2 linked regions of the Drosophila melanogaster genome follow. The protein of the gene in region 1 interacts with the protein of each later gene in a pairwise test. Each region holds a gene or a part of one and is shown on either strand. Other genes may lie near its edges.

The links.
Region 2: the proteins of CG7299 (region 1) and CG31249 interact in a two-hybrid assay, tested with the Drosophila melanogaster proteins (one large-scale study listed by BioGRID).

What each region holds. Positions count from the first base shown.
Region 1 is NT_033779.5:10,679,721-10,687,909, reverse strand, and holds CG7299 (uncharacterized protein), read left to right. Parts: upstream 1-3,500; 5' UTR 3,501-3,537; coding exon 3,538-4,071; 3' UTR 4,072-4,483; downstream 4,484-8,189. Other genes in the region: CG7296 (uncharacterized protein), read left to right, coding at 963-1,448; CG17107 (uncharacterized protein), read right to left, coding at 5,629-5,919; CG17105 (uncharacterized protein), read right to left, coding at 6,552-6,863.
Region 2 is NT_033777.3:17,682,026-17,690,551, reverse strand, and holds CG31249 (uncharacterized protein), read left to right. Parts: upstream 1-3,480; 5' UTR 3,481-3,586; coding exon 3,587-3,656; intron 3,657-3,714; coding exon 3,715-4,041; intron 4,042-4,190; coding exon 4,191-4,546; 3' UTR 4,547-4,863; downstream 4,864-8,526. Other genes in the region: osa, read left to right, coding at 1-734; CG31360 (uncharacterized protein), read right to left, coding at 5,021-5,139, 5,202-5,379; CG31251 (uncharacterized protein), read left to right, coding at 5,707-5,807, 5,865-6,397, 6,457-6,743; CG7655 (uncharacterized protein), read right to left, coding at 6,943-7,377, 7,437-7,763.

The sequences.
Region 1 (8,189 bases):
TACACGTTTTTATAACGTTTTCAATTATATTCGGCTTTAAAAGGCTTAAATAAACAAACAATTAAAAATCTGCGCGACGCGAAAAAGTTTAAAGCTAAACAGGTGGCAGAAAGGCAACAAAAAATTTGCATTTATTATGGCGAACAGTAAAATCAGTCAACTGTTTTTGATATGTTTGTGATACTTAATTAATAGCGGCACAGAGATGCTCAAAGAGAACTAGTTCATTATTTTTATTTATTAATTTAATTTGATGACTGTACTAATATCTAACCAGTTACCGCTAATAAGATCTACCTCTATCTAATATCTATAATATCTATGGTAAACTGTTTTACGTTTACTGCTTAATATTATTATTTACATATTTTTAAATGGCTAAACAATAAGTAATTACATTTTTCTATGTTCCGAGGATAAATATATAGATTTTGACTAGCATTTAATGCGACATCTATTTCGGATCATCTGACTAGAATTCCCCTTGTTCGAAATCTACCTGCGCTGATTTTCAATATTGGCCCCCCTCGATAAGATGTATTTTTCGTCACCCTCCATTAAGCTCCATTAACTACTCGGTCCATGACATCACTGGTATCAAGCCCATCGTTATGCTGCCTCTCCAGTGGATGTATAGATTAGGGGGCGCGTCTCAGGTGCTACCGAGATTGGGACTAACCGGTTGCAGCGGGAGATCGAGCAGACCGGGTTTATTGTGTGTAGGGTCCGACGGTCGTACGCTCCGAACTTGCTAATGAGTTGAGCCATAAATATTGATAATTTGTTCTGTTTTTTCTCTTTTTCTCATTTCTATCTACTTTTGCCGCTTAGGAGAGTGAGCTCCAGGGTAGATCACCGAGCAGTCAACGAATCTATTCGCCAACGGGCAACGGAATAAAAGCCGGGTCCGGCGGTGCATTGGACAAGTGTTTGGATCACCTTCGAGGAAGCAACAACTCAACATGAAACTTTTCATCGCGCTCTCTGTTCTGGTGGCTGTGGCATCGGCCCTGCCTCAATTCGGCGGAAACGCCAACGCCAACGCGAATGCTAATGCCAATGCCCAGGGCGGCCTTGGAGGTCGTCCTGGATTCGGCGGTGGCCCAGGGTTTGGCGGTGGCCCAGGTTTCGGCGGTGGCCCAGGTTTCGGCGGTCGCCCAGGCTTTGGCGGTGGCCCAGGATTCGGCGGTGGCCCAGGTTTCGGCGGTGGCCAAGGTTTCGGCGGTCGCCCAGGATTCGGCGGTGGCCCAGGATTCGGCGGTGGATTTGGTGGAGGTCCTGGATTTGGTGGTGGCTCAGGATTCGGTGGTGGACGTCCTGCAGTCGGTGGCTCATCTGCGGCCTCAGCCTCTTCCTCGGCATCGGCTAGTGGTGGCGGACGTGGTGGCGCTGGATCCGCTTCTGCATCGTCATCCGCCAATGCCTCCGGAGGTGGACTGTACGGTTAGACCGATCCAAACTATACTGGTATTTGGAGTTAAGCGATAAGAAATGACTGTGAATAAAACCTAAATAAATTAAAATTATATACAAGTATTTGTCATTCAATCATTTTTATCATTAAGGAGTTATTTGTAAACATATTATAGGTAAACGTGTTAAGCTAAAAATTCAACAGTAGCAATAGTCGAATAGACGCGGAGTGAGAAATAAAAAAAGTTGAACTATTTGCTAGAAAACTAACGACAAATTTTAAACGCATTTATTGAAAGGAGATGTTATATTTTTGGCTCTTGTAGGCGTGCTTATACAAAAGATCATTGCTAAAATCTTTGAATTATATTTTAAGTTTACGAAAACCAATTTAATTTTAAGACACAAATAATGAAAATCTAATCTAACATTAATACATTTTAAAACACAGTTCTTAAGAACTGGAAAAATTTGATATTATTTTATGAATCAGTAGTACAAGAGAGTTATAAAATCTTGGTTCAAATATATAGCAAGAAGCTTTTGTCAGGCATTGGAAATTGACAAAACACTGGTTGACTTTTTATACGCTTTCAGAGGGCATCTCGATTATATCCAGAAGTTTGCCAGACACATTTGCGACCAAAAGAAGTATATACATGTTTAAATTCTTGATCATTCTGTTTGTTTTTATGCAAATGAGCCCCTTAGGTTTGAAGCTATCTGCATGAATCTTCCCCAAAAGCTTTTTTCTAATATAGGGTAGCATATAACTCGGAACGAACCGGATCGGCAAACAATTTTTCGCTTGATCATAAAAAACACTCTTATTCGGTGTAAATTCGTATTTGAGTACAATAACTTTGTATTTTGCTTAGTAAAAATCGAACGACCACAACTGCCTTGGAAAATTATTCGAAAATAATAAAAAAGAAATCATAGTTTCAATGTTGTAACTCGGTAAGCATCCGTATTTTTTAAATATATATGTACATATTTAAATTTATATAGATAAACAAATAAATACACGTAGTAGAAGGGTATATAAGCTTCGGCTGAGCTTCCTTTCTTGTTAGATCTGACTCGACTATCCGCACGTCCGCAGTTTAAATTATCATTTTTATTTCGCGTAAATGAAGTTGAATACAAACATACATATATTCATCGCTAAAAAATATGTAAATTTTATAGGGGCTTGAACGGTTGCCGGTAAATTACAAAAATATTGATAAGAACCAGATGTGGGTTTGCTTCCAAATATGGAATAATTTTGGATTTATAGCAGAACAAGGAAACTCATAGAAAAGTGTTAATTAAAACCACATGTGCGACTTTGTAAGAATATATTGGTAGTAAGCGACCGAAAATATTTAAATATATTAGGGTAATGTTTTTAAGCTTGCCAAATTTGTTGATTCCAATTTGATTATCATTGGACTAATACCGCTAAGGATTCTGAAACGGTTCTTTTCACAATGATCATGTAATAACGCTTCTATATTAAGGTAGATTTAGATTTCAGGAACCACTTTGCTTCTATATCTATGCTGATAAAAAAAAAAAAAACAAACATATAACACATTCTAGTGTTAATAGCTAATAGCTAATAAAGAGAATTCCCTGACAATTAACTGCTTCTATGTCGTTTCCGTCTGAAAGCGATGCGATGATAGTGCCGAAAGTAAGAAATATACTGGCTTAATGAAATATAAACACAAATATCAATAATCGTTTAAATATTGATATCATCAAACCGGTTCCTTAGTAAACCACCACGAACACGGCTCGTGTTGGTCTAAAGACATTTGCAAACTTTCCTTAAACCATTGCATTCGATCAGAGCACTATCTGACTCTTTCACTCGCTATCCGTCCCACTCTGGAGCGCTGTCCAGATCGGGGGAATCTATCTGTGATCTCCGATAATATTGAAATTATTTTTCGGCAGTGACTATTGTTTGCATGCTAATTTTTATCCGAAAGCGGAGGCTAGATTAGATTATTGTTTTTTTTTTTTATTTTTTTTTGTTTGTTTGCGTCTGCCTGCCGTCTGGCCACTATAAAAACCAGGCCCTGGGGCATTGGCCATTAAGTTTGTTCAGTCACTCCGATCAAGCAGATCACCATGAAGGTCTTTGTCGTTCTCGCCGTAATCCTGGCCGTGTCCAGTGCCGCCCCGCAGTTTAATAATGGCAATGCTAACGCAAATGCCAACGCAAATGCTGAGAGTGAGGGCGGTGGAAGACCAGGATTCAGCGGACCTGGTTTCCAGAAGGAAGGCGGATTCGGAGGAGGATTCGGGGAACGAGGCCCTGGATTCGGAGGACAGGGTGGATTCGGAGGGCCAGGACAAGGTGGATTCGGAGGACCAGGTGGCTTTGAAGGACAAGGTGGATTCGGCGGACAGGGTGGATTCGGAGGACAGGGTGGATTCGGAGGACAGGGTGGATTCGGAGGACCAGGAGGATTCGGAGGACCAGGAGGACCAGGAGGATTCGGTGGTAACTCCGAAGCTAACGCCAATGCCAATGCTGTCGCCAACTCTGACGGAGGATTTGGCGGTGGTAATGCCAATGCAAACGCCAATGCCAATGCCAACACCCGAGGTGGCAGTGCTAATGCTAACGCCAATGCCGTCGCCAACGCATTCCGCAAATAAGCCAACAGATCCGAATTTATTCACTGAGTAGATTTTTAATATTTATAAAAATAAAAATAAAAAACACAAAACTATGAACATTTGTAATTCTTGAAAGGCATGTCATCACAGTAATGAGGTCCATGCAAACAAGGAAAACTAACACAGAATCCTTTTTAAGTATAGATCCACTAAATTGAATGTGCATAAAAAGAACATGTGCATTTTTGCACACATCCAATTACATTTTTTTTTCCAGGGGAATGCTTTGTCAAGAATATTTTGATAATATTTTATTTCGAATTTATGCATTTCTATTATGAAAATATAAATGAAATGATTCAGTCGCAAAATTGTTCTAGGCTGATAAAATTACAATTCATACATTGAAAGCGTATTTTGTAAAAATGTTTGTAGTCTTTTTGGAATAAACAAAGAAAAATATTTTACTCTTTAGATTTACAAATTATAATTATAATGTGTGTTCCACTTTCTAGAGCAACAGAAAAGAACAGACATTTCGAAAACATCATTGATATGCAGACTGTGTGCTTTGATTAGTGCAAAAATTAACTATGATAATAATATGTAGATAATTTAGCTAGAATTAAAAACTAGAAAAAACGCTATAGCCGAGTTCCTCGACTATCTGATACCCGTTACTCAACTAGTTCATTTGGCACATCAATAGATAGGAAAAAATGGTAATTAAACAAAAAAATATCAAAAGCATTTTTCAAAAGTGCAACGTCCCTAAAATCTGAATGCAATATAGATTGAAAATGCTCCTTCTATCTGTTTCATACATTCTAATAAGCCTAGCATACCCTATTACTGTACGATTAAGGGGTATAAAACTAGTTTTATTTCGGAAAGGTTTGGCTACCGTAAACGTAGAAACTTATCCAGATGTTGATAATTTGCAAATTTAAATATTGCAAACCCGAGTTTTAAGAAGCTTGACAATATATCAAGAGACGTCGGACTTCATTTGTGAAAAAATATCTTCGATTTATTAGACCTGCTGAAATTGAGTGTGTCACTCCGTAAGTGGCCAAATTCAAGACTTGTTGTGGGTGGCAAATGCAATTACTTAATTACATAAAAAAAGTAATCACACAAAAAAAAAAAACTCACAAATTGTTTGGATTTCCGGGTAAGCTGTACAAACAAATGATGAATGAAATGAGCTTAATGATTTTAAATATAAAAATAAATTAAATTAAAATTGAGATGCACTAACTATTTGCAAAAACTATATATATATAATGCATACTTTTCAGTTGTAATTCAAGTTGTTAGATACATTTTAAAACATAGTTTCTAATATTAGCTCCCGCTGTTAACTTAGTCTGTTTTTAGGAGGCTAGAGAAATCTTGTTTGACGTCATTAGATCTATAAATAATGCCCGACTCATAAACTGGTTATTAACCTAATATACGAAAACAACATCTTGGATTTCCAAAAACAGAATTAGCATTTTAATATTTATTGGTATTGGTATTGGTTTCAGTTTAGTAGGTCTGTCAGCGGACGTGCCCACTTTTCGAGAGTACAGTTATGAATCCGTTTCGAGCCTATCCATGTCTGCCATGTCCACCTCCACCTCCTCCGGAGCTGGCGTTGGCGGTTGCAGTGGCCGAGGCCGAGGCGGAAGCTGGGCCGCCTCCTCTGCTGTCGGCGGTTGCAGCGGCATTCGCGTTGGCAACTGCGTTCGAACCGCCGACTCCACCGACTCCACCGCCTCCACCGCCTCCACCGCGACCACCGCCACCACCGCCTCCACCGAATCCGCCGAATCCACCAGGATGTGCCTGAACGGCCACCAGGGCGAAGATTAGAAAAATGCAGATAGCCAGGAACTTCATCGTTAGAGATTGCGATGTTTTGTGATCGCGTGCTGGCCTCTTTTATACCAGCATCCGTGACAGGTGGACGACTTGTTTATCTGAAAAACAAAAAAAATCACAGAATCGATATTGTATCGGCATATATATGGGGGCTTCGATTAGCACATTAATTAGACATATATTAAAAACGCATGACGTTTAATATTACCTATATGTATAGTATATGCTTATATACTATGTTATCAATAATTGAAAACTGGTTAGCTTTGGCAAGCCATGTTTTGGTAAAGTATATTTTCAGGCTGTAAAAAAGCTCAGATAAATTCATTATGATAATCAGCTATAAAAACTAGTTTATCATGTAAGTCCTTAGATTTGCTTCTGTTTACACATTTTATACAAAATTCCTTTTCCGGTGATTACAACTTTTGAACCCGAAAATTATATATATATTCTTCACTTAATAAATAATAATTAAAAATTAATAAATTTATATTTATAGTATATTATACATAGAAGGTAAGGCCATTGTGTTGATAACGTTTGGCAAAAGTAATAATAGAAAAATGTCTTAGTCTTTATGCAATAATTATGCATTTGTTTATTTTTTAAAGCAATTGCCGTTTCTGGACTGCTGTTATCATCATTCCTTATCCGTAGTAAGCACCCGGACTGTAACCAACTGAGTTTGCGTTTGCATTAGCGTTGGCAGTGGCTACTGCGCCTCCACCACCACCGCCGTAGCTACCGGGTCCGCCGTAGCCACCGAGTCCTCCGTAGCCACCGGGTCCTCCATAGCCACCGGGTCCTCCGAAACCAACGCGTCCTCCTAAGCCGCCAAGTCCTCCCAAGCCACTGAGTCCACCGTGTCCTCCGTGTCCAAAGCCACCGTGTATACCAGGATATCCTTGGACTGCCACAATGGCAAGGAGCAGGATAGCGCAGAGTGCATATAATTTCATCGTGGGATGTCCCACTATCCTGTGTTTTTTTTTTTTCGTATGACAACTTAATTTCCATAATGAAACAAAGAAAGCAAAAATAAGTCTACTTAACTTGTTAACAATGGTTAACTAGAGCTTAAATATATAAGTGGCATAGTTTTCGGCTGTAACAGAAGTTGTTTTTATTTTCTGCGAATGAAGCTTTTATAGCCAGAGCTTACTGTAGCAAGCATACAGTGAGAAATATTTGCGAATCTTTTTGTTTTACAAATCAATCTACTGTAGTAATTTGGGTCATTAAATGTCCAGGATAAATTTATTCATAAGCAAGGAAAATGGAGAGATAGAGAAATTACTTCAATGTTATGATAGAAATAACTAATCTATTAATTTCATTTCTGCAATTGTGGTTACCATCTTAATATATATATTTTTCTTCATCCCGTTAAGCTTATGACTAACTGCCTGATATCGGTACATCCCACGACCTAGAGCTTACTAAGTCAGTTGGCTTAGTAAATAAAGGCCAGTTAAGTGGCCAAAAAAAAAAAAACCCGTATCGCCAAAACCTTCGATCCGCATTCATTCGAACCATATTCAACATGCAGTTTAGCGACTGCCGCTCAAGTTCAAATGGAAATTAGCGCTTGGTGTTTGTTTTATAGCCGATTGCTTTCAAATTCCATCGAGGGTGAGGCATAGCAAACGTGATACTCATTGCAAAACCCCCAAAAAAGCCCTGTGCTTCTTCATGGATTCATGGATTTTCACAAGCCGATCGATGAATGAATAATCTGCCAGGCGACCCAAGCCTGCAGACCTGACCACACCAAACCAGTCAGCTTGACTGGTCCACGTGTCTGTCCATCGGACTAACTGCGTCCATGCCGGAACATAAAGCCCAAAAATGTATGACGACAACTCTTGAGGAGATTGCCGGTTTTTCTTTTTCTGTTTTTTATTTTTTTTTTTGCAGGTGGGCAGCGATCAGCTTGTGGGCTGCTGAATGTCTGAGCTTGTGTTTGACTTGATTTCTTGGGTGCGCTGCTCGAACAATATACAAAATGATTCATATTCAGTGAATTAGATTTGAAAGAAGTCTATACTATATTGAATACTCTACATTGAATGCTCTATATTAAAAACTCTATATTGAATATTCAATTTTAGGAATAGACCCTACATAAACATGATTTAAATTATCTTTCCCTCTGCTACTATTAGAGGGTATCTTTTGGATCACCTCAGCCAATCACGTTTCGTTGCGGCAATATTATGTCCCATTTGAAGATCGATTTTCGGATCAACAATGTTTAAAATACCTACTAACGCTTTGTGCAATCG
Region 2 (8,526 bases), on another chromosome or scaffold:
AACAAGAACAGCGGCTGCTTGGTCTGGTCATGTCGCACATCCTGGACCAACAGGTGGCTCTGATTATTTCGCGTGTTCTTTACCAAGTGTCGCGAGGAACAGGGCCTATTCACTCCGTGGAGTTCCGTCTGCTGCAGCAGCGGCAACAACAACAGCTGCGACCTGGTCCTGCAGGGAAGCAAGCAGCCAGTGCAGGAGGAAGTGCGACAGTAAAAGCGGAGACTGCATCGACGGAAACGAGTTCCACTGAAGCGAAGCCCGCACCAGCAGCCACTACGGCAGTGGTCAACGATGAGAACAGCAACAGTAGCCAGCAGTTGCCGCCGGCAGCGACGTTCAACGACGTCAGCAACAGCAGCACCAACAGCAACAGCTGCGGTACGGCCAGCAGCAACCAGACGAACAACAGCACCACCAACAGCAGCCACAGTAGCAGTGCAATCAGCAGCCAATCGGCGATCACGGTAGCCGCTCCATCAGCAGCCGCAACAGGAGCAGGATCAGCGACAGCAGCAGCGATTGCCAGCGATCAGCAGCAGGTGAGCAAGGTGGCTGCAGCTGCGGCCGCTGCTGCGGCTTTAAGCAATGCCAGTGCAGCGGCAGCAGCAGCTGCGGCGGCGGCAGCTGCTTCCGTTGGTCCGCCCACATCGTCGAGCGTGTCCGCCGGAGCAGCGGTCGCTCAACCAGCGGCACCTCCACCAACCAATGCAGGAACAACGACAGCCGTTGCGTAGTATACGACAATGATGCCAGCGTCCTACTACTGGCCACGAACCCCGCGAGGGGCAGTCGACTAAGCTGGCGTTCGGTGGTTGAACAGCGGGCCCAGGAGCAACTCCGAAGTGCAAGACCAGAAGATGATACCTGCATCCATGTGGGGTGGGCATGTAAATTTACTTAAGTATGGCGCCAAGAGAGAGAGAGAGAGTCACGATGTGCGAGAACTCGTGTCCGAACTCTAAGGATACGTAAACGGGAACTCAGCAGGTGCAGCGCCTGCAATGTATCTGCGATGGAATGGCTCGCCAATCCATCACTGTAACAGTCAATACAATAACAACTGTATATTTTTTCACTCAAATCTAAAAATAGTAAATATGATAACTAAACCTAAACCCTAAGCATTAAGAAATTGAAGCAGCATAGTTATGATCATTCGAAAAGGAAACTGTTCGGAGCAGAACCACTGATACTAACCGATCGAGTTATAGGATCGGGGATTATTATTGAGTCGAACGTGAAGATAGGAAACGGAGGATAACAAAGTTAAGAGCGAAATTCAAGCACACAGCATACTTATTGTACTAAATTTAATAAAAATGAAGCGACGAGCGAGGAGGAATAACTAACACATACATATGCATACGCACGCTACGGTTTATCGTATATTAAATATATATATAAATAAATGCATAAACTAACATTAAATTACATGAGAATGAATTGTGTATGTAAAAGGGATGAATGCATACATACGTACATCTAGACATTGATATATAAATACATAGAGGATAGTTTTTAAATTCTACCACTTACTAATACCTACATATTACCACAATGTGCAGCATAGGAACTCATAAACTGATCGAACTGAACGAACACCAAAGTTCACGCGGAAATATTTAAAAGCAACACGTATATAAGGCAGTTTATTGGATTCAATGTGGTCTAAATGTTGCAGAAGGACGAATCCTTAGAGATGACTAAAAACCATTGTACATACTTAACTATTATGTAAATTTCACTGTATTTTTGTTTTTACGCAATGTTACAAGGCACATGTAAGTGGCAGCACTGCATTTTGTATTATGTTTATGTGTATGATGTTGTATGATGTATTGATGGGCTGCGAAAATTCCAACTTCTTAGTTTTAATCGCATAACTCGGAGGCGAATGGAAATGAAATTAAGCGAGAGAAACAAGCAAACAAGCAAAAATGAAAAACCCTCAGATGAAGGCAAGCAAACAATTTAAATTGAAATCAAATTAGGTGATATAATATATAAAAATACATAACATATACATACATAATTAATATAAACGAAACATGAAAAATCGAAAAAATGAAACCCTAATGCTGTAATCTTATGTTAACTGTATTATTTGCTGGAAGTGCTGCTGCTTCGTTTTATTTTATATCGAACTTACTTAAGGCGTAAATGACAAGATAAATAATTAGGTTTTTATCTTAATCTTAATTTAAAATGCAAAACAAATAAAACCAAGAAAACAAAGCAAAACAAAACGAAACCATAAAATGCTATAAAACACAAAGCGAAGCAAATCGAACTAAAGCTGTAGAGAAGCACGCAAAAAGGACTAATAACCACACATCCACACCCACACCCAAAATGCTTGGCGTTAGGAAACCAATAAACAATTAATGCAAAACCATACATGGGTGGGTGCACCAATTTGTATACTAAACTTTCTCACACATAATTAACGTGCTACATAAGAGATCGAAAATGAAATGTCTCCAGATTCTGGCATGAGCAAGTCTAGAGGTCCTTCCGGTTTCCGGTGGCGATCCTCTGGATCCAGAGGAACTGCAAGATATTGGGAGATAATAGGAAACTGCTGCTGTTGATACGTGTATTCGTGTAGTTGTTTGCAAACAAATATTATAACTCAGCATCTCGATATATAACGTGTAGTTATTAGTCTATAATTTGCTAGGATGTAAATGTATGTCCCTCAAACTTAATTTAATTATTTAATTAATATACATACATATATGATATACAATACAGCCTTTGTACTTGTCGTTTCTTATCGCTGATAAGGGAAAAATATTTTTTGGCGGGGAAATACTTTTTAGAACTCATTTCGATTTTTTCAGTGCAAATCAATTGGTCAGATTGATGAATCCTATGGTAACGCATTCCCAAAATATTTCTTATTATATTATTATAAACTATATTGCTTCTGTTCAGCGTAGGACATTCACTGTTGAGCGAAAGATTATTATATAAATGTATATTCGAGATAATATGCAATTGAGCACCTAAATACCATGTCTAGGTTTTCAAAAATGTCTAGTAACAAGATCTTTTGTCTGTTATTAGGCTGTACTTTCAGCATTGAGGTCGATGTTACTCGATTGGGAATTTGTGCATTGTATTTACAATGTCAATTTGTTCAAATTTACAATTTCAAAAATCAATTTTAAAAGAACTTACATTAATATTAAGAATTCGCGTGTTCCGGGATAAATTTGACTTTTTTAATTAATTGACAATTTTAATCGGTCAATGAAGAGCTTTAAAATTGTATTAATAGTTCTTCAATTAATTGAATAATATGATGTGCAAAAAAATAATTATCGGAAAAAATACTTTTTGACAGTAAGTAGTTTCTTACAAAATATTTGATTTAAAAATTATATATCGATACTTTTTCGAGATTATTAAATTCGAACAGCTTTATCACAGCAAGTTGGCAGCCCAATTTCTACGTCGATAAGTCCTCTCGTTTAATGTTCCATCCCTTAAATTTGGGCGATAAGAATAAGCACAGCCGGCTGTAACATTTTTTGTAAATTAACAGAGCGAATCGATTTTTGTATAGTAATCCGTTGAAAGCATGCTGTCGCTCAAGATGAAACTCGAGGTACTGGGTCGTCCCGATGTTGACATCCCGGTGGTGATGAGCGGTAATTGTCTAGTTTTCCTGATGGGGCTATAAGTCATCCCATTCTTTTCGTTCCGCAGACCGCAAGGAATTCGCCAACACAGTCCTCTGGTTGGAGGACCAGAAGATCCGGCTTTACTCCATAGAGGATCGCTGTAAGCTGCGCACTGTCGACAACCCTGAGATCTGGAAGGAGGGTTACTTAAAGTACTGTGCCGATTTGAGCATGCCGCCCCTGGAGACGCGGCAGGAGCAGCTGGCCTGGATTGTCAGCTATGCTGTGCGCCTGGACTTCCTCGATGATCCTGATCAGTTTGCCTCGATTAACACCAAACAGGTGCCACCCCAAAGCAATGGCAAGCAGTCCCAACAAAGGGTCCAGGCTATTTTCGATGGAAATATTAATAGTATGGTCTGATTTTAACTAAATTTACCATTTAAGGAACTTTAAATTTATATATTATGGATTTTTTAAGAGGTTCCAAAAACCACTTTTATTATCTATAGATGATAATCAGGTAAAGTACAACAAGTATTAATTCTTTCTTCCCACCAGCTCAGGAAAAAGCGTTCGTGGATGGAGTCCGGCTGCTGGCCAGCAAACTGAATGTGCCGCACCACCCGAACCATCTGTTGCAGCTGGAGGCTATCGCTCGCGTGGTGCACGAACGCCTCTCGCCCGCCGCCAAGGATCGCAAGCCGGTAGTGGGTAAACCCTTCCCTTTTGACAAGGGAAACGACGTCGTCTCGTCCAACGACTCTGCCCTGGACCTGCCCATGCGCATACTACGTCTTCTCCAGATCCAGAGCCTACGCGAGCTGCAGACACACATCAATGAGACCATTGTGGCGGTGCAGAACATCACGGCCAATCCAAAGACTGATACCAAGCTGGGGAAAGTGGGATTCTAGACGATTAACAGTAAAGGAACGCAATCGACACAATATAACATAAAAGGACATAAAGAACATAAAAGTTTTAAAATTGCATCTATAAAATATCCTTTAAAGCCAAGCAACAACATTTAGCAGAAATCAATAGATAGATCAACAGCCAAGCTATGAACAAGCAAACACCTTTTTTGAAAGCTATAAAATAAGAATCCTGTTGATATTTTATAATATTATTATTAATACAAACATATGTTTATTTATGATCCTCTTTCAAAAGATGCAATATTGTGTATGCCTATGTAATTAATTTATTTAAAATAAATCATAAATTCATTAAAGCAAACAAGGTTTTGTTTTCAACGATTTTAAATAGAAAAAATTCTAAAAACAAGGTTACAGCTATATTATTGTAATGCCACATGGTCGTACAAAAGAAAACATTAACCTTTATATATTAAGTGACTCTACGATTATAATTAAAACGTCATTGAATTAACGTCTAGAAAAGAACTGATGATCAGTGCTAGTATTTTCCTGTTCTTTTGGCTTCTCGGCGGTTGCCTTCAGGAAATTCGCGTCTGCCAGGCGGGCCACGCCCAGAACTCCAACGGCTATGGCGACGAAGGAGAAAGGAGTAAACATAAGACCGGATTTAAGATCCCAAGTGGCTCACCTGCAGCCAAGCCTTTCATAGTGAAATTCTCCAGAGGTTTCGCTTGTCTTTTTTTCGACTGTGCCAATAGGAAGGCACCAATTCCCAGGAGTCCAAGGCCACTGACCAGACGGCAGGCCAAGCAGTCCACCTCGTTGGAAACGTTGTCCTTGTTCCAAAAAGAAAGTCTACCGATCATTTTTAAAATTATTTCAATAATAACAATTTGGGAATGGATTTGGAAAATAAGGCGACAACTATCGATATACCAAGTTTGTCGCAGGGCTGCCAACTTGATTGTGTTAACTAAACTAGGTTTTTTGTTAATTCGATCAACAAATGCTTTATTGACCTTATTTTCTAATAGAACTAGATTCCTATTAATATTATATATGTTGACCACACTCTAAAATCTTTAATATGTATCTATCTTTTTAATAGCTATCGCCGATTTAAATGCATTGTTATCGATAGACGTGAACATTAGATGTTAAGTTAAAAGCGGCCGGTTACTATTCTTACAAAAATGGACTTTCAGCGAAACGATGCTATGCTCATGGAAATTCTGCAGGATCGGAAAACTATTACAGGTTTCCTGGACTCCATTTTCGGATTTCTGCGACGCAAGTAAAAGATTTTATCTCAAGATCCTTAACAAAACTGTAGTCCCACTTCCCTTTTTAGCACCGACTTTTATCACACAAAACGCGATGAAGCGGATAAAATAGGCTTCCCCAAAGGCGTGAGGGATCAGATTCTATATGGCGCCATGCAGCGCTACGATCCGGATTGCTTGCTACAATCCCTGACCGCGGAAGGCGGTGCAGATGATGGAGAAACGGCTCCGCCTGCCGTCGAAGAAGTGGTCCTGGAAAGCGAAGATGGTCCTCAGGACGAGGAAATGAAACCCATAGAGAGCCAGCCGCCACAAAAAGGGAAGGAGCAGTCAAAGTTCTCCCCCAGCGACTACAAAAACGGAGATGTGTTCGAAACGCACTGCTGGTCACAAACCCTCAAGGATGTGGAGGTGCAGGCTCTGCTTCCCAAGGATCATCAAACGGCGAAGAAGCTGCACATTTCAATTCAGGCCCAGCACATCAAAGTGAGCAGCAAGCATAGCCCAGAGACGATCATCCTCGAGGGAAACCTGAGCCAGCGGATTAAACACAAGGAGGCGGTGTGGACAATTGATCAGAACCGATTGATCATAAGTTACGGTGGGCATTCACCTAAAACATCTTTATAAACCATTTTCATAAACTGTATATAACTGTAGATAAAGCAAAGGAGCTCTGGTGGGATCGGCTCTTCGAAGGTGATCCAGAAATCGATTCCAAGAAGATTGAATGCGAACGCTATATAGATGATTTGCCGGAGGAAACCCAGGCCACCATAGAAAAGCTTAGGGTCCAGCAGTTGGCAGCAGACAAGCAACAAAATGAAATTCAGACCTCAAGTCCCGACCAAGCTATAAACCTGGATCGCCTGAAAGCTGCCTGGGATGCCGAAGGTTCGCCGTTTAAAGGACAGCCCTTTGATCCTTCTATCGTAAGAATGAGTTAAATTTTAAAATAATTAATTAAGCTAGCAATAGTAGTAAAATAGTAAAAACTGAACCATATATATTTTTATATATCTTTTAGTTTTTTCATTATTTGTTTCGTTCTGATTCGGAAACTGAAATTGTTAGAAAAGTATTATTCAATACAAACTCATGTCAACTTACAACTAGATCTTAGTAAGAACACTTTTGAGATTAAGTTTACTTGGCCTTCAGTTCGAGTTTCTTGCGCTGCAGTTGAATCTTCTGATAGGCCACATCCTTCTGATCTGTGGACCAGGCCAGGTACATGTAGGTGGTCAGCAGCAAGGCCATGACTAGCCGATCCACGCTCATCACATTCGTGGCGAACAGGATGACCGACAGGCCCACAAACGAGGGATGTCTGACATGGGCGTACAGATTGCGCAATTCCCCGGATTTGTAGCTGATGGGCGGTCCGTAGGCCTTCAGATCGTAGTAGGCTTGCTTGACGCCCAGCAGCTCTGGCAGATCCATCACCAAACTGCCGCCAAAGATGACAACCCAGCAGATGCCATGGGTGATCACGAAGGTCCACCAAAGCGGAGCACTCTGCTCCACATCGATTTGCCACAGAACAATCGACTGAGCGGGCAGCCAGTTGACGATCAAATACTGAAATGTCCAAAGTTGCAGTTGGGAGCTATTTCTGTCCAATTTGTGGGTATACAAACATGTAAACAAAGCGATGACGTCAGGCTATAAATAGTGCGCTCCGCACCCGACAATCCCAACTTGGCCAACAGCTTCTTGACCACGGCTGACTTGAGGAAGCTGTGCTGGAAGATGAATCCGATCAGGTAGAGGGTATCGAACACCACGGGTCCATAGGCGGTCTGCAGGCGCGACTTGTTGTCCAGTAAATTGAAAATCCAGGTGTGCGCCTTGGAAATCGAACGAGGCGTCGAAAGGAACATCATCAGGCTGCCAACCACGTACAGGGAGTAAGCGAACGTGGCCAGGGATGCCAATAGTACTATGGACTTGGCAATCGATGTCATTTTTGTCAGGAAAATTGAGAAAATAGCTTGTTATTTCGAGATAATCAAAACAAATTCAATGAACGTTTCGGTGAGCTAATCAGTGCGACCATGGCACAGTCGCGATAAAATCTTCGGTGAAGAATTTCAATTTGGTTTGTGTCCACGATAAAAACATCGCTCTCCCCACGTAGCGTGTCTCGGCTACAAAAACATAGCGCATTTATCCGGCGGCTTGAGTCATCGCTAGTTGTCCAAATTTAGGACTATTATGTGACTGGCGCGATTTTTGGAGTATGTCGCCACGGTCACTCTGTTTGCAAATGTTTCAATTTTCCCACTAACGAAAAAGTGTAAGTCCGCAGCCGAAAGGCATAAGAAAGTTGAGAAAAAGTTTAACAGTTGCAAGTAAGAACTGGTTTGATAAAGCGTATCTAAATCCAAGCAAAGTGATGAAAAAACTGTCGACGCGACAACCCAACACACACACACACTCAAACAGGCGCAGCGCTCCGGCACACATACACAAGTGGCTTGCAAATGGCGGATGCGTTTCCAACAAAAAGAAAAGAAGAAGGAAAAGAAAGACTGCATTGTAAATGTGAAATGTTGTGAAAATTGTTGACGTTGCAAGTGGCTTAAAATCGGCTGAAAATCAGCGTTAGAAGTATAGAGACTGGAGATAAGAAGGGGAGAGCGGTGTACATGTATGTGTGTAAGTGCAGTGCGACGCCCTTTTGTCTTGAGAGGAAAAAGGAAGCCACTACTTTATTTATCGGTGTGC